Caenorhabditis elegans: one gene and its partner. The protein of the gene in region 2 purifies or fractionates together with the protein of the main gene of each other region. This does not show direct contact. Each region holds a gene or a part of one and is shown on either strand. Other genes may lie near its edges. The genes, in order: gfm-1 and trm-2A.

Region 1 (8,916 bases), on a different chromosome or scaffold from region 2:
GAAATCTCCAAAGAAAAGTTTTTCGAGGTATTCACAATGAAAGGCCAGAAACTGAAAAAAAAAGAAAAACTTATCAGAAAAACGAGAAGAATCACCTACCTTTTTCAGAATATGGAAATTCTGGTGTTTCACCACAACAATCCCATCAGAAAACTCTTTATTCGATTCATCAAAGTTTTTCGGAGATTTCTTCGGTAATCCCGACATAAATATGGTTTTTACCAACACTTCAATAATAATACTGTCATCGATCAGGAAAGCATCAACCATCGTGTTCCAATTCACGAAATTCACCCATCCATGTTCTGTTATTTCTCCGAATAGCTTTGAATCAGATTTTATATAGCATACGCCTGAAGAAGACATGAGTTTCACAGAGTAGACTACATTCACAATGCAATGAGCATCATTGTTTGACGGTTTTTCACAACTGAGGAAGACACCCATTTTTTCATCTTTGTGACGAAGAACGATTTTCCTGAAATTTATAAATTGAGGGTTTATCGCATATTACTCATATTTAACTGACCAGGGAACACCAAAATAATCTTCATTTGGACTGCACACAGACTCGTCATCTCCTATTTTTGAAACGTCCTTGAAAACGTGCGAAAGCTCGAATACCTTGTGAGCAGCGGCCATGAAAAGAATTTTCTGAAATTTAAAACATTTGAAGTTGAGAAGAAAATAAGCAACAATTTGACAAAATTCAGAGAATTTCATTCAATGCAGCTCTGAAATCAACGAAGCGAGTGAAAATCAGAAAAATTGTCTCAAAATTGAACTACATAGTAAAATTATCAGCTTGTTAAAAGTTTCAAAAAACACTTTTCTTGAATTTACCAACATTTTTCTGATAAAAACGCTTGAAATTTCACTGAAAAGTGAGAAAAAATAAACGAAATTGCATCAAAACAGTTTGCTCGTCATTTAGAATGCATTGTGTGCATTACGTACTTCGTCGTCTACCGTAGTTCGTCTACTGTAGTTTTTGAGGAATTATTTTCCGATTTCAATTAATTTTTATTGGAATTCTCTTTGATAATAATACACTTTTATTGAAACAGATATTATTTGGCTTAGGCCTCGGCTTAGCCTTCTTCTCAGGTTCATGTTTAGGCGTAGGTTTAACAAAAGGTTTTGTTCGCAAAATGCAGAAAAAAAAACAATTTTGAAGCTAATACGTAAAAAAAAAAAATAAATTTGAGGATTTTGGGTCTCGCCACGCGGACAACGGGTTACTGTAGAAATTACTGGTGTCGATTTTTGCGCCGCTATTCCATCAGTTTTCTTATAAATTAAATGGAAAATTGCTTTTTCGAAAAAATGATTCAATAGCGACCCATAAATCGAAACGAGTTACAGTCACTCGTTTCGTGGCGAGACCCATTTCTGGCGATAATTCTCATTTTTAGACGTCTAGTTAATAGAAACTTATATGAATAACTTTCAGGTGATCAATTTCGGATCTTGGCCCAGTACTGCTGGTACGAAGGATATCTGACGATGAAATAATCCTACCACTTCAAACTTCAAATCGATTAATTAATAATAATTTCAAATAGTTCAAATAAAGAATCTTTAAATCCGGCAAATTGGCAATTTGTCGATCTGCGGAACGGCCCAATAGGTCTGATCCATCACAATTGTTTGTAGTGTTTCTGAATTTTGAATTTTTCATATTAAAATACAAAAGCTCGCAAAAATTTAATGAATGATCTAAAAATCTTAACAAATGAATGAAAACAACAAAACAAGAGTAAAAAAAAACTAATCTACAGAACATGAAAAAACCCTAAATTAACAGATCTACTTCTTCTTCTTCTTTCCCTTCTCATTCGGATCAGCAATTCCATGCAACTGCCTCCACTCTGCTTGTACTCGATCTTGAGCTTCCAGTGTTGTAGGTGCATATCTTGAATATTCCATACTGAATTCTCCTTTTCCTTCCGTTAACGATCGTAGCTCTGAAGTGTATCCGAACATGTCCGACAGTGGAGCTTCACAGATCACAGTCGCGTATCCTTCCGTCGAATCGGTGGTGGTGATCAGTGCATTTCTCTGGGTGAGTGATGTCACTACATTTCCCTGGAATTCCGTTGGAACTGTAGCTTCTACTTTCATAATTGGCTCGAGGAGCAGCCAATTCGCTTTTTCGAATGATTCACGCATCATGTTTTGCATTGTATTGATCATAGCGATTTCCGTGGAGTCTACAGCATGAGTTGAACCATCTTGGATCCGAACATGAATTCCAGCGATTCTAGACTTGATAAGTGGACCCTCGGCGACAATCGCGTCGAGACCCTTCTTGAGAGCCGGGAACAGATTCTTCGGGATATTGTTTCCGAATGTCTCGTCGGAGAATTCAACGACAGTATTGCGATCAGATGGTAGTGGATCAATGACTCCTTCGATTTCTCCGAATTGTCCCTGTCCTCCGGTTTGTTTTTTGTGACGGAAGTGGAATCTGCAATTTGAAATTTCATTTATATATATATTTTTTTTAAATGTTTTTTTTCACTCACTTATAAGGGCTACCCAAGCACTCTCTGTATGCAACTGTAGGTTTTCCCAGCTCCACAGGACAATTATATTCACTCTTCATACGCTGAGCATAAATTTCCAAATGAAGCTCTCCCATTCCAGAAACAATCGTTTCCTTCGCTTCTTGATTATATTCTCGTCGGAATGTTGGATCTTCCTTTGTGAATCGCGTCAGCGCCTTAATAAAATTGTCGGCATCTTTTCGGTTTACTGGTTTGATGGCCATCGAGATAACTGGCTCCGGGATGTGCATTGATTCCTGGAAATTTTTAATATTATTAAGGCAAAAAGCATGCACTGCAACTTTTTTCGAACGAGGGACGAGGCAAAAAGGTTTCTAGGCCATGGCCGAGTCCCCGACAAATTTCAGCGGCCATTTATTTTGCTTTGTTTTCTGCGTGTTTTCTTTCGTTTTTCACCGATTTTTTCCGTTTTTTCATATCAAAACTAATAAATAAATATTTTTTGCAGATGCTAAAACAATTTCCAAGTGAAAAAATTGTGAATTCAGTCGGCAAGTAGCAGTGAAAGTGGGCAATGTAATATGATGGATTACGGCTATACAAAACCCAAACTTTTTCTGAAACATGATACATATGCTGCTTAAATGCTGAAGCTACCTGATTTTCATAACGAGACAGCTAAAAAAGTTTTGAGATTTTCAAAATTCAACATTTTGTGCCAAAATCTCGACTTTTTCACAAAAAAAGTTGAATTTTGAAAATCTCAAAACTTTTTCAGCGGTCTCGTTATGAAAATCAGGTACTTTTAGCATCTAAACAGCATATGTATCACGTTTGGGAAAAAGTTTGGGTTTTTTATTCCCGTAATCCATCATATTACATTGACCACTTTTACCGCTACTTGCCGACTGAATTCACAATTTTTTCACTTGGAAATTGTTTTAGCATCTGCAAAAAATATTTATTTATTAGTTTTGATAAGAAAAAACGGAAAAAATCGGTGAAAAACGAAATAAAACACGCAGAAAACAAAGCAAGATAAATGGCCGCTGAAATTTGTCGGGGACTCGGCCATGGCCAAGAAACCTTTTTGCCTCGTCCCTCGTTCGAAAAAAGTTGCAGTGAAGCATCAAAACCTACACAATGCGGAGCAAGATTCTGATCCGTCGAAAAAGTCTCTCCAGAATGGCAGTCAAGTCCAAAAGTCGCACAAATATCTCCAGCATAAGCAGTAGTGATCTCTTCCATATCAGCAGCATGCATCCGAACCAATCTCTGCACACGTACTTTTCTACCGTCTCTCGATGCATAAACAGTGTCTCCTTTGCTTAATTGTCCCTGGTAGACTCGGAAATAGGTGAGTTGGCCGTACTTTCCTGCTTCCAGCTTGAAGGCAAGCCCGACGAATGGCTTATCATTGTTTCGTTTTGGCGAGAGAATGATTCCTTTTTCATCTCCGGTGGTTTCCGTTTTTACAGTGGCTCTGTTAACGACTTCAGATGGATCTGGAAGGTATTTGACGACGGAATTGATCATTGTTTGAACTCCTTTGTTCTTTAAAGCGGATCCGGAGAGGACTGGGACGAATGCACGCTGGAACAAAATATTGATTTTATTAATTTTTTGTTCAAGTTTATTGTTATGCACGCTCTTGCTACGCTTCGCTATTCTGCATCCGCGGAGTTTTGTCTTTCCACTGAAAATGGCAGAATTATCAAATTTTTAGCTTCAAAATTGTTTTTTGTTTCTGCATTTTGCGAACAAAACCTATTGTTAAACAGTGAAAATCGAATTTAAAATGACTAAAATTAAGCGTTTTCGTCCACTGGAAGAAATCAACGGGATTTTTCCTATTTTCTAAATATTTCGCTATAAAAAATCGGTTTTAATACATTTTTGACTTAACATTAGGGTCAAAAATTGTTAAAAACCGATTTTTAATAGAAAAATATTTAGAAAATAAGAAAAATCTCGTTGATTTCTTCAAAGTCAAACCATATTACAGAAAAAATTCGAAAAAAATCTGAAAAATTCCAGGGAAAAAAATGGAATTTTTAGATTTTTTTTAGAATTTTTCTGAATTTTTTAAAAGATTTTTTTTAATTTTTCTGAATTTTTTTAATATTTTTTCTGAATTTATTCTGAAATTTTTAGATTTTTTGTCAAAAAATAATCTAACAATTTCAGAATAAATTCAAAAAAAATCTTAACAATTCTGAAAATTAAAAAAAAACGATAGAAAATTTCCAGAGAAAATTTTTAAAAAATCTAAAAATTTCAGAATAAATTTTTAAAAATCTGAAAAATTCCAGGAAAAAAAAATGGAATTTTTAGATTTTTTTGAACTTTTCTGAATTTTTTAAAAGATTTTTTTGAATTTTTTTATATTTTTCAGAATTTATTCTGAAATTTTTAGATTTTTTTCAAAAAAAAAAATCTAACAATATCAGAATAAATACAAAAAAAATCTTAACAATTCTGAAAATTAAAAAAAAACGATAGAAAATTTCCAGAGAAAATTTGAAAAATTCTAGAAAAAAGCTGGTGATTTTTGAAATTTTTAGTGGATAAAAAATGTTTTTTCTTTGGTTTTGTGCATTTTTATTCCCGCATTTTTTGTAGATCAAACCGTAATGGGACATATTAGCACCACGAGTAAATCTGAATAATCTGATAGCAAGCGCGCTTTAATAATTATTCAACCTTGACAACAGTTCTTCTAATAGCTTCATGAATCTGTTGAACATTTGGCGTCTGATCGTTCAAGAACATTTCTCCAAGAGTCTCATCAACATTGGCAATATGCTCAATGAGCTCCTGACGTCTATCTTCTGCTTCCACCCTCAAATCCTTTGGAATCTCGTCCTTTCTCACAATAAGTCCACCTTCACCCTCATAATACAACGCGTGTCCTTCTACCAAATCGACGATTCCATTGAAATTTGAGTCTTTCCCAATTGGTAAATGAATGAGCGCCGCGTTATGGTTCAATTTATTCCGGAGGCCATCTAGAGCTTTCAGAGGAGTCGCTCCATTCCGATCCATTTTATTCACGAAACAGATGAACGGAACATTGTAGCGAGCCAGTTGACGATTAACAGTGAACGTTTGCGACTGGACACCTCCAACTCCGCACAGAACAAGTACGGCTCCATCGAGAACACGAAGAGCCCGCTCGACTTCAACTGTGAAATCCACGTGGCCTGGTGTATCAATAATATTAATATTAGTTCCGTGCCAATCCACATAGGTAGCCGCCGACTGAATAGTGATCCCCCGCTGTCGTTCGAGATCCATAAAATCCATTGTGGCTCCGACGTCGTCTTTTCCGCGAACTTCGTGCATCGAGTCGATTCTTCCGGCATAATACAAGATTCTTTCTGTGACAGTCGTCTTTCCCGAATCAATATGAGCAGAAATACCTGGAAATTTGTGTTTTAAATCAAGATTTTGATCAAAAATTAGGATTAAACGCCAAACCAATATTTCTGATTCGTTCAATTGGCCGGACTCCTGGTACGACGACGGACGACGGCGCTTCGTTGGATGCGAATCGTCGGAGGACGTTGTTTAGCTGAAAAATTCATTTAAAAAAAACTATTAAAATAATTTAAAAATAAATAAATTACCTGCCGACGGCTTTGCGCCACTGCAGAGAACCTCCCGAGAGGACTCATTGTGTATTACCTGAAGTTTAGATGTTAAATTTTCAAAGATTTTCACTTAAATAATTTTTAAATTTTTAAAATAAAAATAATATTGGAAAAGTGCATTTAAAACGTTTAATTTTATTAATTAACAAAAAATGATGCCATAAAATCGTTATCCGAGAGGAGTACGCGACGCGTGGCCTAGCATTTCGGGGCAGTCGCTCTTCCAAAAAAACATGTTTTTCTCACTCGACTTTCAGATATTTCTTATATATTTTTTAAAGAACTCTCTCGTTGTTTTCCGTTCGTTTTTTCAATTTTTAGTAAAGAAAAGAACAGAATCATCAAGTTTTAATATTGATTTATTTCGAGTTGCTTGAGAAATGCAGAGTTTTCCAAGAATTTCATGTTTTTGTTTATTGGAAATTTGAAAAACGCTTTGTAACCAGCAATGTGGTATTGCATCATTAAATAATGTTGAAATAACGGGTTTTAACTGAAAGAAATAATCTTTTAAATACTCTTTTCGACGGAAATATATTATTTCTATTATTTCCTACGCAGCTAGCTACAGTAACCCGGTGGCCGAGCGAAAGAGCATATTTAACCACTTTTCTGCTCTCTCTAATTCCACTATTCTTATCAATTGCAGTACTTTTTCCCCGTGTCCTGTCTCGTTTCCCCCGCTATTTTCATGAAAAATTTCAATTTTCAGGCGATGGACACTCGTCGAAAAGTGTATCACAGAGGCGAAAACAATACACAGAGGATACAGGAAATCCGGGAGAGCATCAGAGTCAAAACTCGAGCTAGTTAGTTTTTTTTTCAGCTTGAATTATGATGAGCATTTTAATATTAAAATTTTCCAGAAAAAGTAAGCGAAACCAGTGAAAAACGACGAGAAAGATTCCGAGCCCGTGAAGATGTGCAGAAACTGATCCGAGGCGCCGATTCGTACACAAAAGCAACTTACGAAGAGAAATGTGAATTTTTGAATGGAATTTCCAGGACGATTTTGGAAACCACAGTGGAATCGCTGACGGATAACGAGTTTTTTGAGGATATTTGTCAGTTGTAAGTTGTGAAAACTAATCTGAGATTTAACATATAATAAAAATTCCCCATTTTTCAGAGTGTTAAAATTCCTACCCGACGATCACCCGTGTATCCGTGCAATGTGCTTCCATATGGTTCGAAAATGTACGATAAACGAGCGGAATCTAGTTGTAATCCTTACAACTCACGTGGATATTTTTATCGTTCGCGCAATTGATTTACAAATGGAAAATCAAACGGAACGATTGGAAGCTTTCAAGTTAATTATTTGGATGCTTAAAATCTACGAGAAATCCAATCTCAAGAAGCTGATAGACTCCTCGGCGGCGCAGAAAAACGGAAAGTATGCTAAATTTAACTTCAATTTTCTGGAAAAAAATGATCGAAAATTCACAAAATTTGGTAAAATTTGGAATTTAGCCGGCTTGACAAGCGGCGGGAAACTAAATTTTTTGAAATCACCAAAGAGATATTTTAAATAAATTTTTTATCAAATCTGGTCGTTGCAGAATAAATCTGAAAAGTTGCAGAACATTTGTACGTTAAAATCTGATTTTATAATGGTGTTTGTGATTTTTTTTTGTAAAAACTCAGAATTTTCGGTGGAAAACTTTAAAAAATCTGAAAATCTCCAGAAGTAATTTTTTAAAAGTTTAAAAATTTTAGAATAAATGTTAAAAAAATTTAAAAATTTCAGTATAAATTTAAACAACTCTAAAAATTTCAGAATAAGTGTTAAAAATAAACTCTAAAAATTTTAGAATAAATTCAAAAAAAATCTAAAAATTTCGGAATAAATTCAAAATAATCTTTTTAAAAAACTCTTGAAAAACCTGAAAAATTTCAGAATAAATTCAAAAAACTCTGAAAATTTCAAAATGAATTTTAAAAAAGCTTGAAAAACTTGAAAAATTCCAGAAAAATTCCAAAAAAAAACTTGAAAATCTGAAAAAAAATGATACAAAATTTTCTGTAAAAATCTGAAAAATTCTAGAAAAAGCTGTAGATTTTGGGAAAATCTAAAGTTAAAAATTTTTTTTTTCAATTTTGCACTGAATATTTAAAAATAATCGGTTTTCTTTTTCGGTTGGCACATCGAAATGTACCTAAATCTTTTGACGCGCAAAATATCTCTTAGCGAAAACTACAGTAATTCTTGAAATGACTACTGTAACGCTTGTGTCGATTTACGGGAGAAAATCGCCCGTAAATCGACACAGACGCTACAGTAGTCATTTCAAGAATTACTGTAGTTTTTCGCTACGAGATATTTTGCGCGTCAAATATTCTGTGCAATACGCATTCTTTTTTTTTCAGAAAATATGCATTCCCCAAGTCCATCATGCAACCCATCATCTCCATCGCATTGTCAGCATTTGAAGGTCAACAGACTACGGGAAAAGACAAGTAAGCCTGGATTGGATTCGATTTCCCGTTGAAAAAAATTAATAAATTTTCCAATTTTTAGATTAACCCTCCCGTGCGTCGGCCTTTTCCTGGAGTTCAGCTTAACCGAACCGCTATTAGTCCTAGAAATGGCCGGAACAGATTGGCTTGTAAAAGCATTAACTGGAGTTTCTTGTATGAGCCGACGAATTGTGCTCCTTGCATCACATGTTCTGATCTCGTGGCTTGATTCTCCGACGATTCGGATCAAAGCGCATTTGGATTTGGTGATGGAGCAGATCTTCGCACCTCTG
Region 2 (9,697 bases):
ATCACCGCCGGAATTCCCGATTCCAACGACAACAATCACCTTATCCTCATAGCCTTTATGATCCTTATAGTCATGAGAATGAATAATTCGGCCTTTGAATTTTTCCTGTCCTGGCCATGGTTCGGGAATGTGTGGGATCGCGTGGTGTCCGGAGCAGATCATAACTCCGTCGAAGATCTTTTCGTGGAATTTTCCGGATCTGAAATTTGGAGAAATTGTGTAGGCTTTGGATTAGGCTTTGGTTTGGATTTAGGCTTAGGCTTAGGCCTAGGCTTAGGCTGAGGCTGAGGACGAGGCTTAGGCTTATGCTAGGTTTTTTTTTTAAGTTTTTTTTAGTCTTGTTAGGCTTAGGCACAGGCATAGGCTGAGACTTAGGGTTATGCTGAGGATTAGGCTCAGACTTTGGCTTAGTTTTAGGTTTAGTCGTAGGCTTAGACTGAGGCTTAGGCTTAGGCTGAATCTTAGGCTCCGTCTTAGGCTTAGGCTTATGCTTACATCACGGCTATCGTTTTTGGTTTTTTTGTTGGAAAAAATGATTTTCTGGTTTTTCGGACCAAAAGTCGAAAAGTCAAAAAAAAATAGCAGCATATAAATTTTTTGTATTTCGTTAAAAGCTTGTACCTACTTCACACTGTACCTACATCATGCCTACCTCTGCGCCTGCCGCCTATTTGAAGCCGACAGACCTACAATTATGAAAACTTACTCATCAGTGTACCGAACCTTCCATTTTCCAGTGGTACTGTAATCATGATTTCTCTCAATCGAAACCACACTATGATTGAGCTTAATATGCTTCAGAAGCCCATAATGCTCGGCGTAGCTCTTCAAATATCTGCACATTTCTCTGTTATGCATGAAGTTTGCCATAGTGTCTTCCGGCGGGAAATCCGAATATGCGGTCATTTCTTTGGACGTATTGATTACAGTCGACTTCATAACGGTTGACACTGAGAAAAATTGAGCTTGAATTTTTGAGAAAAAAAATTGACTTACGGTCCGTTTGATCGGGCTTAAAGTTCCACAGTCCTCCGATATCTCCGGATTTTTCGAAGCAGGTCACTTCGACGTTTGGGTGAAGCAGGGCATGTCTGGAAAAAATAGAAGTTTCAGTTTTTTTTGCGCGTAAAATGTGGTGTACTGCAGCTGTGAACCTCACCGCAATGCACTATATTTTACGCGCAAACTATTACGGAAACGCCAAAATTTTAAGAATGCGTATTGGACAACATAATTGACGCGCAAAATATCTTGTAGCGAAAACTACAGTAATTTTTTAAATGACTACTGAAGCGCACACGTTGATTTACGAGCTCGATTTTTGAAAAGTGACAGCGATATTACATTTAACTGTGTTTCTTAAAGGAGGGCGCATTTATGAGAAAGGGTCTCGCCACGCGCCATTCATTGATTTTTGGAGTGCGTGGCGGGACCATTTCGAAAAAATGCGCCCTCCTTTAAGGTCGTACGAGTGAAGAAAAAATGCACTGTAATTTCAAATTTAAAAAAAATTATTGATAAATAAACTTAAAACAAGTAAAAAAGTGAGCCCGTAAATTGACACAAGCGCTACAGTAGGAATTTAAAGGATTACTGTAGTTTTCGCTACGAGATATTTTGCGCGTCAATTATGTTGTCTAATACGCATTCTCAAAATGTAGTGTTTTATCTATTTTTCTCTTCAAAATGAAGTTTTATATTCAGATTTTCACATTTTTAGGCAAAATTTCAAGAAATTTTTCATTTTTATCACAAGAAAAAAACGGTTAGGGTATAAAATTGGTATTGCCTCGCACTTCTAAAAGAGAACCCACATACCTGATAGACGGGAGCCCGGAGGCTCCGGCACCGACCACAAGAAGTTGTTTTTTGGCTACCATTGTCGAAAAAAAAATCGTTACGATTTGATAACAAAACTGTCTTTTCCCAACGTATTTATAGTGCGGTGGGGTGATCAATTTGGGTAGACTGGCTATAACGAGAGATATGGAGTCTGGTGAGAGACGCAGACAGCGAGGGACTACTCGTGTGGTGAACGTGTTTGATCATGGTGCATCAGACTAGAAAAAGGTTGTCTCGTGAACCTTTTTTAACCTTTATGGCTAGAATTTAGTTCAGTCACATTTTAAAAAAGCAAAAGTGTAATTTCATGGTCTCACAGCGATTGAGATATTAGTGTGAAAATTATTTTTAATGATTTTTTTCCCATTTTTCTTTTCTATTCAATCAATAATGACTATTTTTAACAACCAATTCTGCTCAAAAACTAGGCGATTTTTACTTTCTCAGGCCACCTGCGCCACAGCGCCTTTGAAACGGATTTCGATTTTAATTACTACAGTAATCTCTCATTGGAGCGCGCTTGCAAAATTTGCAGTTCTTTTAATTTTTATACCAATTGATTTGATGAAGTTGGCTCAGAAACAGAAGATGAAAAAATGGTTTTTAGAAGAAAAACAGTAAATAATATTTTCAGCGATAAAATTGGTGACAAAATTTAATTGTAAAGTTTGAAAATATTGAATTTTACGTGAATTCTCCTGTTGTGCTGAAAATACATCCTTGCGGGACAGATCAATGGAAAAAAGTGGTTAACATTTTGTTTATATTCAAATTTTAGACTAACCTAGGCTGACCTAGCCTACCCCAGGCTGACCTAGCCTACCCCAGGCTGACCTAGCCTACCCCAGGCTGACCTAGCCTACCCCAGGCAGGCCTATCCTACCCCAGGCAGGCCTAACCTACCCCAGGCAGACCTAGTCTACCCTAGGCAACCTACCCCAGGCAGGCCTAACCTACCCCAGGCAGGCCTAACCTACCATAGGCAGACCTAGTCTACCATAGGCAGACCTAGTCTACCATAGGCAGACCTAGTCCACCCTGGGCAGACCTAGTCTACCCTAGGCAGACCTAGTCCACCCTGGGCAGACCAATTTTCAATTCCGGCAATTTTCCGGTTTGCCGATTTGCCGGAAATTTCCAATTTCATCGACATTCTGAAGTAATATAGCTTAAACTCCACCAATACTGTTTATTTTATATCAGTTTTGCGTTCAAATTGTATCGAAAAAACTCCTTTTTAAACACCCTCCGTTTTAATTCTCAATAGAGCGCGCTTGCCGAAGAGGCGGTGTACTCCTCTCGGACACCTGCGATAATTGTTGTTTTTGATTTATATTCTAGATTTTCCCCGAAAAATTCCGGTTTTCCTTCTTTTTGAATGGTTTTTTACACTAAAAGTCGCATAAAAAAGCTTTAAAACCTTTAAAAATCGATAAATAATCAAGTTTTCCAGGTAAAATGGCGGATCCGGTCGATATTAAGACGGAAACTCCGGAGTTAACTCCAGAAGTCAAAGAAGAAAAGGCAATCGATTTGGATCGGATTCATATTAAGAATATCCCAACATTTATCGGATTCAAGCAGTTCAAGAAAGTATTGGAAAAGTGGGATTTTTTTTCGATTTTTTAATTAAAAAATTGATTTTTTAATTAAAAAAATTGATTTTTTTTCCTTTTTCCAGAATCCTCGGCGACGTAAAATCGAAAAAAGTGCGCCATATGTCAGATTACGCCTATGTGACGTTCGAAACCCCAGAGGACGCCCAAAAAGCTATAAATCTAGTCGATGGCTATGACTACAAGAAATTCATACTGTCAGCGCAGCTAGCAGCCACAGAAGTCAAATCTTTCCGTCCGGCTAACCCGGAAAATACCGAGCCAGCTCAGCAGAAAACCGCCCGTGAAAGTGTAACTCCGCTCGCCGAGATGGAATACGGGAAGCAGTTGGAGTTGAAGCAGCAGAATAGTGTGGGCGTCGTTGAAAAGTTGTACCGGCAGCTAATTCAGAATAAAGTTGCACATTTGGGCAAACAGACTCAATTCCGAGATCGTGTTCTTCGGGAAATTCTCCCCGCACCGAAAACCGCCGGTTATCGAAATAAATGTGAATTTACAATTGGTCACGATTTGAATGGAGAAATTTGCGTGGGATTCGTCGGCGGAAGATTCTCGAAAAATCAGCATTTTGTGATACCGCCCGTCGACGTGGATATTGTCAGCACACAGATGATGGCGATCGTTGGGGATGTGCATGAATTTGTGAAAGAATCGGCGTTGGAGCCATTTAATGAGTTTGATAGGAAAGGATTCTGGCGGATGCTGACGATTCGGGAATTTGGAGGAGATGTTATGCTGATTTTTACGGTTTTTCCGCTGGAGGATGGCGTGGAGAGGATGGAAGAGATTCAGAAGAAGATTGAGACGAGATTTTTGGATTTTGAGTGCGATTTTCTCATTTTTTAGGAAAATTTCCAATTTTTCAGAAGAAAAATGACCAAAATTGAAAATTTTATGTTTGAAACAAAAAAAAATCGATTTTTTCGTCAAACGCACAAAATTTCTCATTTCATTGATATAAAAATGTGGAAAAAAGTGCGTTCTAACTGAAAATAACATTTATTTCTGTTAAAAAACTTATAAATGCCTCAAATAGTCTATTTTTGGTCTTTTCAAGCTTTTCAACAAAAATAAATGCTATTTTCAGTTAGAATGGACCATTTTCTATGTTTTTATATGAATTTTTGAAGAACTTTTAAGTTTCTGAAAATTCCCGGAAAAAATATTTGAAAATCTTCTTACAAACTTTTTTTTTGCAACTTTTTCACGGAAAATATGCAAATTTACCATAAAATTCAATTTTTATCAACCAAAAGTTTGAAATATGTTTCAAAAAATCGAAATTTTTTGTTTTTTCCAACAAAAATTTGTAATTTTTGCAGAAAAAAAAACAGAAAATTTAACAAAAAATTGCTTTGGAAAAAACCGAAAATTTCAGAAAAAAAACCGTCTATTACAGGATCACAAAATTCTGAAAATGCGTACTGGGCAACATATTTGACGCGCAAAATATCTCGAAGCGAAAACTACATTAATCTTTTTAAGGACTACTGTAGCGCTTGTGTCGATTTACGGGCTCGATTTTCGAAAATATTTTCTTGTGAGTTTTGACGAATATTTAAAAAAAAAGTGAAAATCGCTAAGAAAACGGTTTCGAAAATCGAGCCCGTAAATCGACACAAGCACTACAGTAGTCATTTAAAAGATTACTGTAGTTTTCGCTACGAGATATTTTGCGCGTCAAATATGTTGCAAAATACGCATTCTCAGAATTTTTGTGTTTCCGTGTTCAAATGGATCAGGTTTGTAACGACATTTTCAAATAATTTTTCGGGAATTTTCTGAAATTTATAAATTCTCTCAAAACTCATATAAAAATGTAGAAAAAGGTTCGTTTCAACTGAAAATATTATTAATTTTCGTTGAAAAGCTTGAAAAATGCCTCAAATAGCCTATTTGTGGTTTTTTTAAAGCTTTCACACAAAAATTAATGTTATTTTCAGTTGGAACGAACCTTCTTCTGCCTTTTTATATGAGTTTGAAGATAATTTTTGAATTTCAGAAAATTCTCGAAAAATTATTGGAAAATCTGCTTACAAACCTGGTTCGATTTAACACAAAACCAAAAAATTATGAAAGTGCGTACTGGGCAACATATTTGACGCGCAAAATATCTCGTAGCGAAAACTACAGTAATCCGTTAAATGACTACTGTAGCGTTTGTGTCGATTTACGGGCTCGATTTCCGAATTGTTTTTTTTTTTCGAAAGTCAAGCCCGTTAATCGACACAAGCGCTACAGTAGTCGTTTAACGGATTACTGTATTCTTCGCTACGAGACCCTATTTTGCGCGTCAAATGTGTTGTGCAATACGCATTCTCAGAATTTTTGTGCTCCCGTAATACAATCAAAAACCCCATACCTTAAAATTTTTCAGAACATTCAAGGAGAAAAAGTACCGAGTGTGTAGTATCTATTGGCAACAAATGGTTCATATCAGTGATACACCGAACTTCAAGCTGATCGGTGGAACTCCGTACATTTATGAATCTCTGTTGGACTGCCGATTCCGAGTATCACCGCCAGCGTTTTTCCAGACGAATAGCCAGGCGGCGGCGGTTCTCTACTCGACGATTGGAGAGCATTGTGGGCTCAGTGAAAAGGTTCTTGAAGAATCTGCGATTTTATTATTGAAAAGCGCATTAAAAATGCCGAGAAAACGCGCTCCACGGCCAATTGAATACGCCCCGCCCCCAAGCCAAGGGTCTCGTTAGGTTTTCAGTGATTTTCGCTGTTTATTTGGTGTTTTAAATGAATTTTGTGTCAAAAATAATGAAATCAATTTTTTAACAGGATTTTACATGATTTCCACCTAGAAATTATTATTTTTAATGATTTTCTGCAGAAAATAATAATTTTTACTAAAAATCAATATTTTTCTATGATTTTTACCCAAAAAATCAGGTTTTTTTCTATTAATTTTGCCTAAAAATCATTATTTTAAATTTTTTCCCCAGAAAAGCTTTTCTTTCCATAAAACCAGAATTATTCTATGATTTTCACCCATAGAATCAGTATTTTTAACTAAAATCAGAATTTAAACATTTAGGATTCCCCGATGATTTCTACCCGAAAAATCAATATTTTTCAATAATTTTTACCCGAAAAATCAGGTTTTTTAATGTTTTTCCCAGAAAATCATAATTTTTACCTGAAAACTAGGATTTTTGATGATTTTCACTCAAAAATCAGCATCTTCATTAATTTCATCAATTTCAGCAAAAAAATCATTAAAAACCACTGAAAAAATGACAAAAAATGCTTGAAAATTGGCGAAAATTTCCGGTTTTCCCGCCAAAAAAATCAAAATATTGATTTTTAGTAAAAATTATTATTTTCTGCAGAAAATCATCAAAAATAATAATTTTAGGTGGAAATCATGTAAAATCCTGTTGAAAAATTGATTTCATTATTTTTGACACAAAAATAATTTAAAACATTAAATAAATAACGAAAATCACTGAAAACCTAACGAGACCCATGGCTTGGGGGCGGAGCTTTTTCAATTCGCTGTGGAGCGCGTTCACACGCCGAATTTTGAAAAATGCTCAAAAATTTCAATTGTTTCTTAATTTTTGACTGAAAATCTGCAAAATCGATGAAATAAAAAGTGAAAATAGTTTTTTTTCTCCAGAAAACCAACGAAGATGTTCCAGTGGAAACTGATGCATCGGAAAAAGCCCCAGAAGCTCCAGCAGCACCTTCAGAGCCCATCCCCGACGATCCATCCGATGCTCCTCCGGCAAAGATCCCGAGAATCGAGCCGGAGCCCACTGCAGCAGATGAAGCACCTGCTCCAGAAGATCCCGGAACCATCCTTCTTGACATTTGCTGTGGAACCGGAACGATCGGTCAATGCCTTCTGAAAAATATTCAAAAATCGCAAAAAGTGTGCTGCATCGGAATTGAAATGATCGCCGAAGCGGTGGAGGACGCCAAACAAAATGCGAAACAGAATAAAATGGAAACATGCTGTAAATATATTGCTGGAAAAGCCGAGGACACATTCCGATCGATGAGATATCATCTGCCGAATGGTTTTGATCTACGAAAATCGAGAGTGGTCGGAGTGCTCGATCCACCGAGAGCCGGAATGCACGAGAAGGTTATTCTCGCGTGTAGAGAGGTTCGAATATTTGGATTTTAGAAATTCCAAAAATTACCTTTAAAACTTGTAGATTTACGCGTAAATTTTTTTAAAAATAGGAATCGAGGGTGTTCGTTTTTCGATTTTTTAAAAAATTATTTTATCGTTGTTTCGATTTATCAAAAATTAGCTTAACATTTTGGCTATTATTCTTCTTTTTAGAAGAAATTGTTATGTTTTTTCTTACCAATATAATCAATTTTTTTAAATCATAGTTTATGGTTAATTTTCTGAACATTTTTTTCGATTTTTCAATTTTCACTGAAAAACATCAACAAATCTTTAAAAAATGCCGCTTTTGATAGGAATATATTATTCAGACGCGAAATTTCGGGGTTTTCGCGACTTCCCGGTCTCGACACGACAAATTTTTGCGTGCGCCTTTAAAGGTGGTGTACCGAAATCTGAAAAAAAATTTCAAATGACTCCAAATTTTCACCTGATTCCGAATAATTATGTTAAAAAATCCGAAAAAAATTTCCCAGATGTTATATTACCGCTTGAAATCGAGAATTTTCGCGCCAGAGACGCCATATGTCGATTTACGAGATTTGTGTATATTTACGAAATGTTTATTTTATATCGGATGCTGTTTTTCGTTTTTCAATGAGTTTTCTTCGTTTTCGGCGGTTTTTTGTTTGGAAATGTATGTTTTAAGGTCAATTGAACATTCTTTTTAATCAAAAAATTAGAACATTTTCCATAAAAAATTTTTGCTCGTTTTTTTGATACGAAAATGTTTAATTGACCTGAAGAAACACATTTTCGAAAAAAAAACCGCCGAAAATTAAGGAAATTCATTGAAAAAAAAGGAAATCAGCATCGGATAAAGATTAAACATTTCGTAAATATACACAAATCTCGTAAATCGACACGTGACGTCTCTGGCGCAAAAATTCTCGATTTCAAGCTGAAATATAAAATCTGGGAAATTTTTTTTTTTAATTTTTTAATCATAAATATTCGTAATCAGTGGAAAATTTGAAATCTGAAAATATTTTGATAATATTTTCCAGATTTCAGTACCAAGGGTGTCAGTTTATCGAATAAGAAAAAGTTGAAAAACGAAAATTTTTCGATTTTCAAAAATTAGCTTAAAAATTTGTTTAAAAGTTTTTTCGATTTTCCCACGTGGGGTGTCAGAGTGTCCCACATCGGTGTGATCTACAAGAAATGCGGGAATTCCGACGCGCTGACTTCTCAACACATTTCTTATGGTTAAGAGCGAGATGACGTCACATTTTTCTGAGAAAAAATTCCCGCATTTTTTGTAGATCACACCGATATGGGACACTCTGGCACCACGTGCTTTTCGGTTTTTCGAAAGAAAAAACCGGCAGTCCTGGCCTGTAACACCTGAAAACGGTTTTTTTTGCTCCAGATGGAAACAATGCGTCGTCTGATCTTTGTCTCGTGTGAACCAAACGCCGCCATCTCCAACATCGTGAATCTGTGCCGTCCGTCGTAAGTGTATTGCACACACCTAGCACAGTCTTATCTCACTACAATCTAAATGTGATAAGACTGTGTGTTTTTCTCTCCGTCTCCCTATCTCTCTCTCTCTCTCTCTCTCTCTCTCTCTCTCTCTCTCTCTCTAAAACCAATTCATTTATAGGTCTCGAAAATACACTGGAGACGCGTTTTCGGTGACCCGTGTGCAGCCGGTCGACATGTTCCCGCAGACGAATCATATGGAGTGGATTATTCAATTGGATCGTTAATTTTTGCAATTTTATTGTTGTTTTTTTTTCGTTGTTAAATTTTATATTATAGAAGCGCAGAAAAATGCCTTTTTTTTGAAGTTGGCGAGGAAACGCGCTCCACGGAGAACGGGTCTTGTTGGGTATTTTTCGTTGTTTTCTTGATTTCTATGCCAAAATTGATGTAAAAATTGATTTTCAACCGAAAATTAATTTTCAAAACTCCATTTCGACCTGAAAATCATGATTTTCAGGTCGAAATGGGGTTTTAAAAATTAATTTTCAGTTGAAAAATCAATTATTTTCACTAATTTTGGCATAAAAATTAAGAAAACAACGAAAATGCCACAAAAATAATGTCTTTTAAGTTTTACAATTTACAAGGTTTTTCC

Evidence for each region.
Region 1: the proteins of trm-2A (region 2) and gfm-1 fractionate together in Caenorhabditis elegans (co-fractionation; one large-scale study listed by BioGRID). This does not show direct contact.

Annotation. Positions count from the first base shown.
Region 1 is NC_003280.10:13,114,764-13,123,679, reverse strand, and holds gfm-1 (Elongation factor G, mitochondrial), read right to left. Parts: upstream 6,198-8,916; 5' UTR 6,188-6,197; coding exon 6,140-6,187; intron 6,085-6,139; coding exon 5,991-6,084; intron 5,933-5,990; coding exon 5,214-5,932; intron 4,104-5,213; coding exon 3,651-4,103; intron 2,807-3,650; coding exon 2,529-2,806; intron 2,471-2,528; coding exon 1,810-2,470; 3' UTR 1,664-1,809; downstream 1-1,663. Other genes in the region: bath-45 (BTB and MATH domain-containing protein 45), read right to left, coding at 1-51, 100-478, 530-642; rict-1 (RICTOR_N domain-containing protein), read left to right, coding at 6,879-6,972, 7,030-7,234, 7,293-7,559, 8,534-8,623, 8,685-8,916. UniProt on the Caenorhabditis elegans protein: Mitochondrial GTPase that catalyzes the GTP-dependent ribosomal translocation step during translation elongation.
Region 2 is NC_003283.11:901,668-911,364, forward strand, and holds the start of trm-2A (tRNA (uracil(54)-C(5))-methyltransferase), read left to right. Parts: upstream 1-3,295; 5' UTR 3,296-3,300; coding exon 3,301-3,446; intron 3,447-3,523; coding exon 3,524-4,282; intron 4,283-5,835; coding exon 5,836-6,061; intron 6,062-7,092; coding exon 7,093-7,584; intron 7,585-8,986; coding exon 8,987-9,069; intron 9,070-9,220; coding exon 9,221-9,326; 3' UTR 9,327-9,697. Other genes in the region: fmo-5 (Flavin-containing monooxygenase), read right to left, coding at 1-199, 707-950, 997-1,091, 1,819-1,880.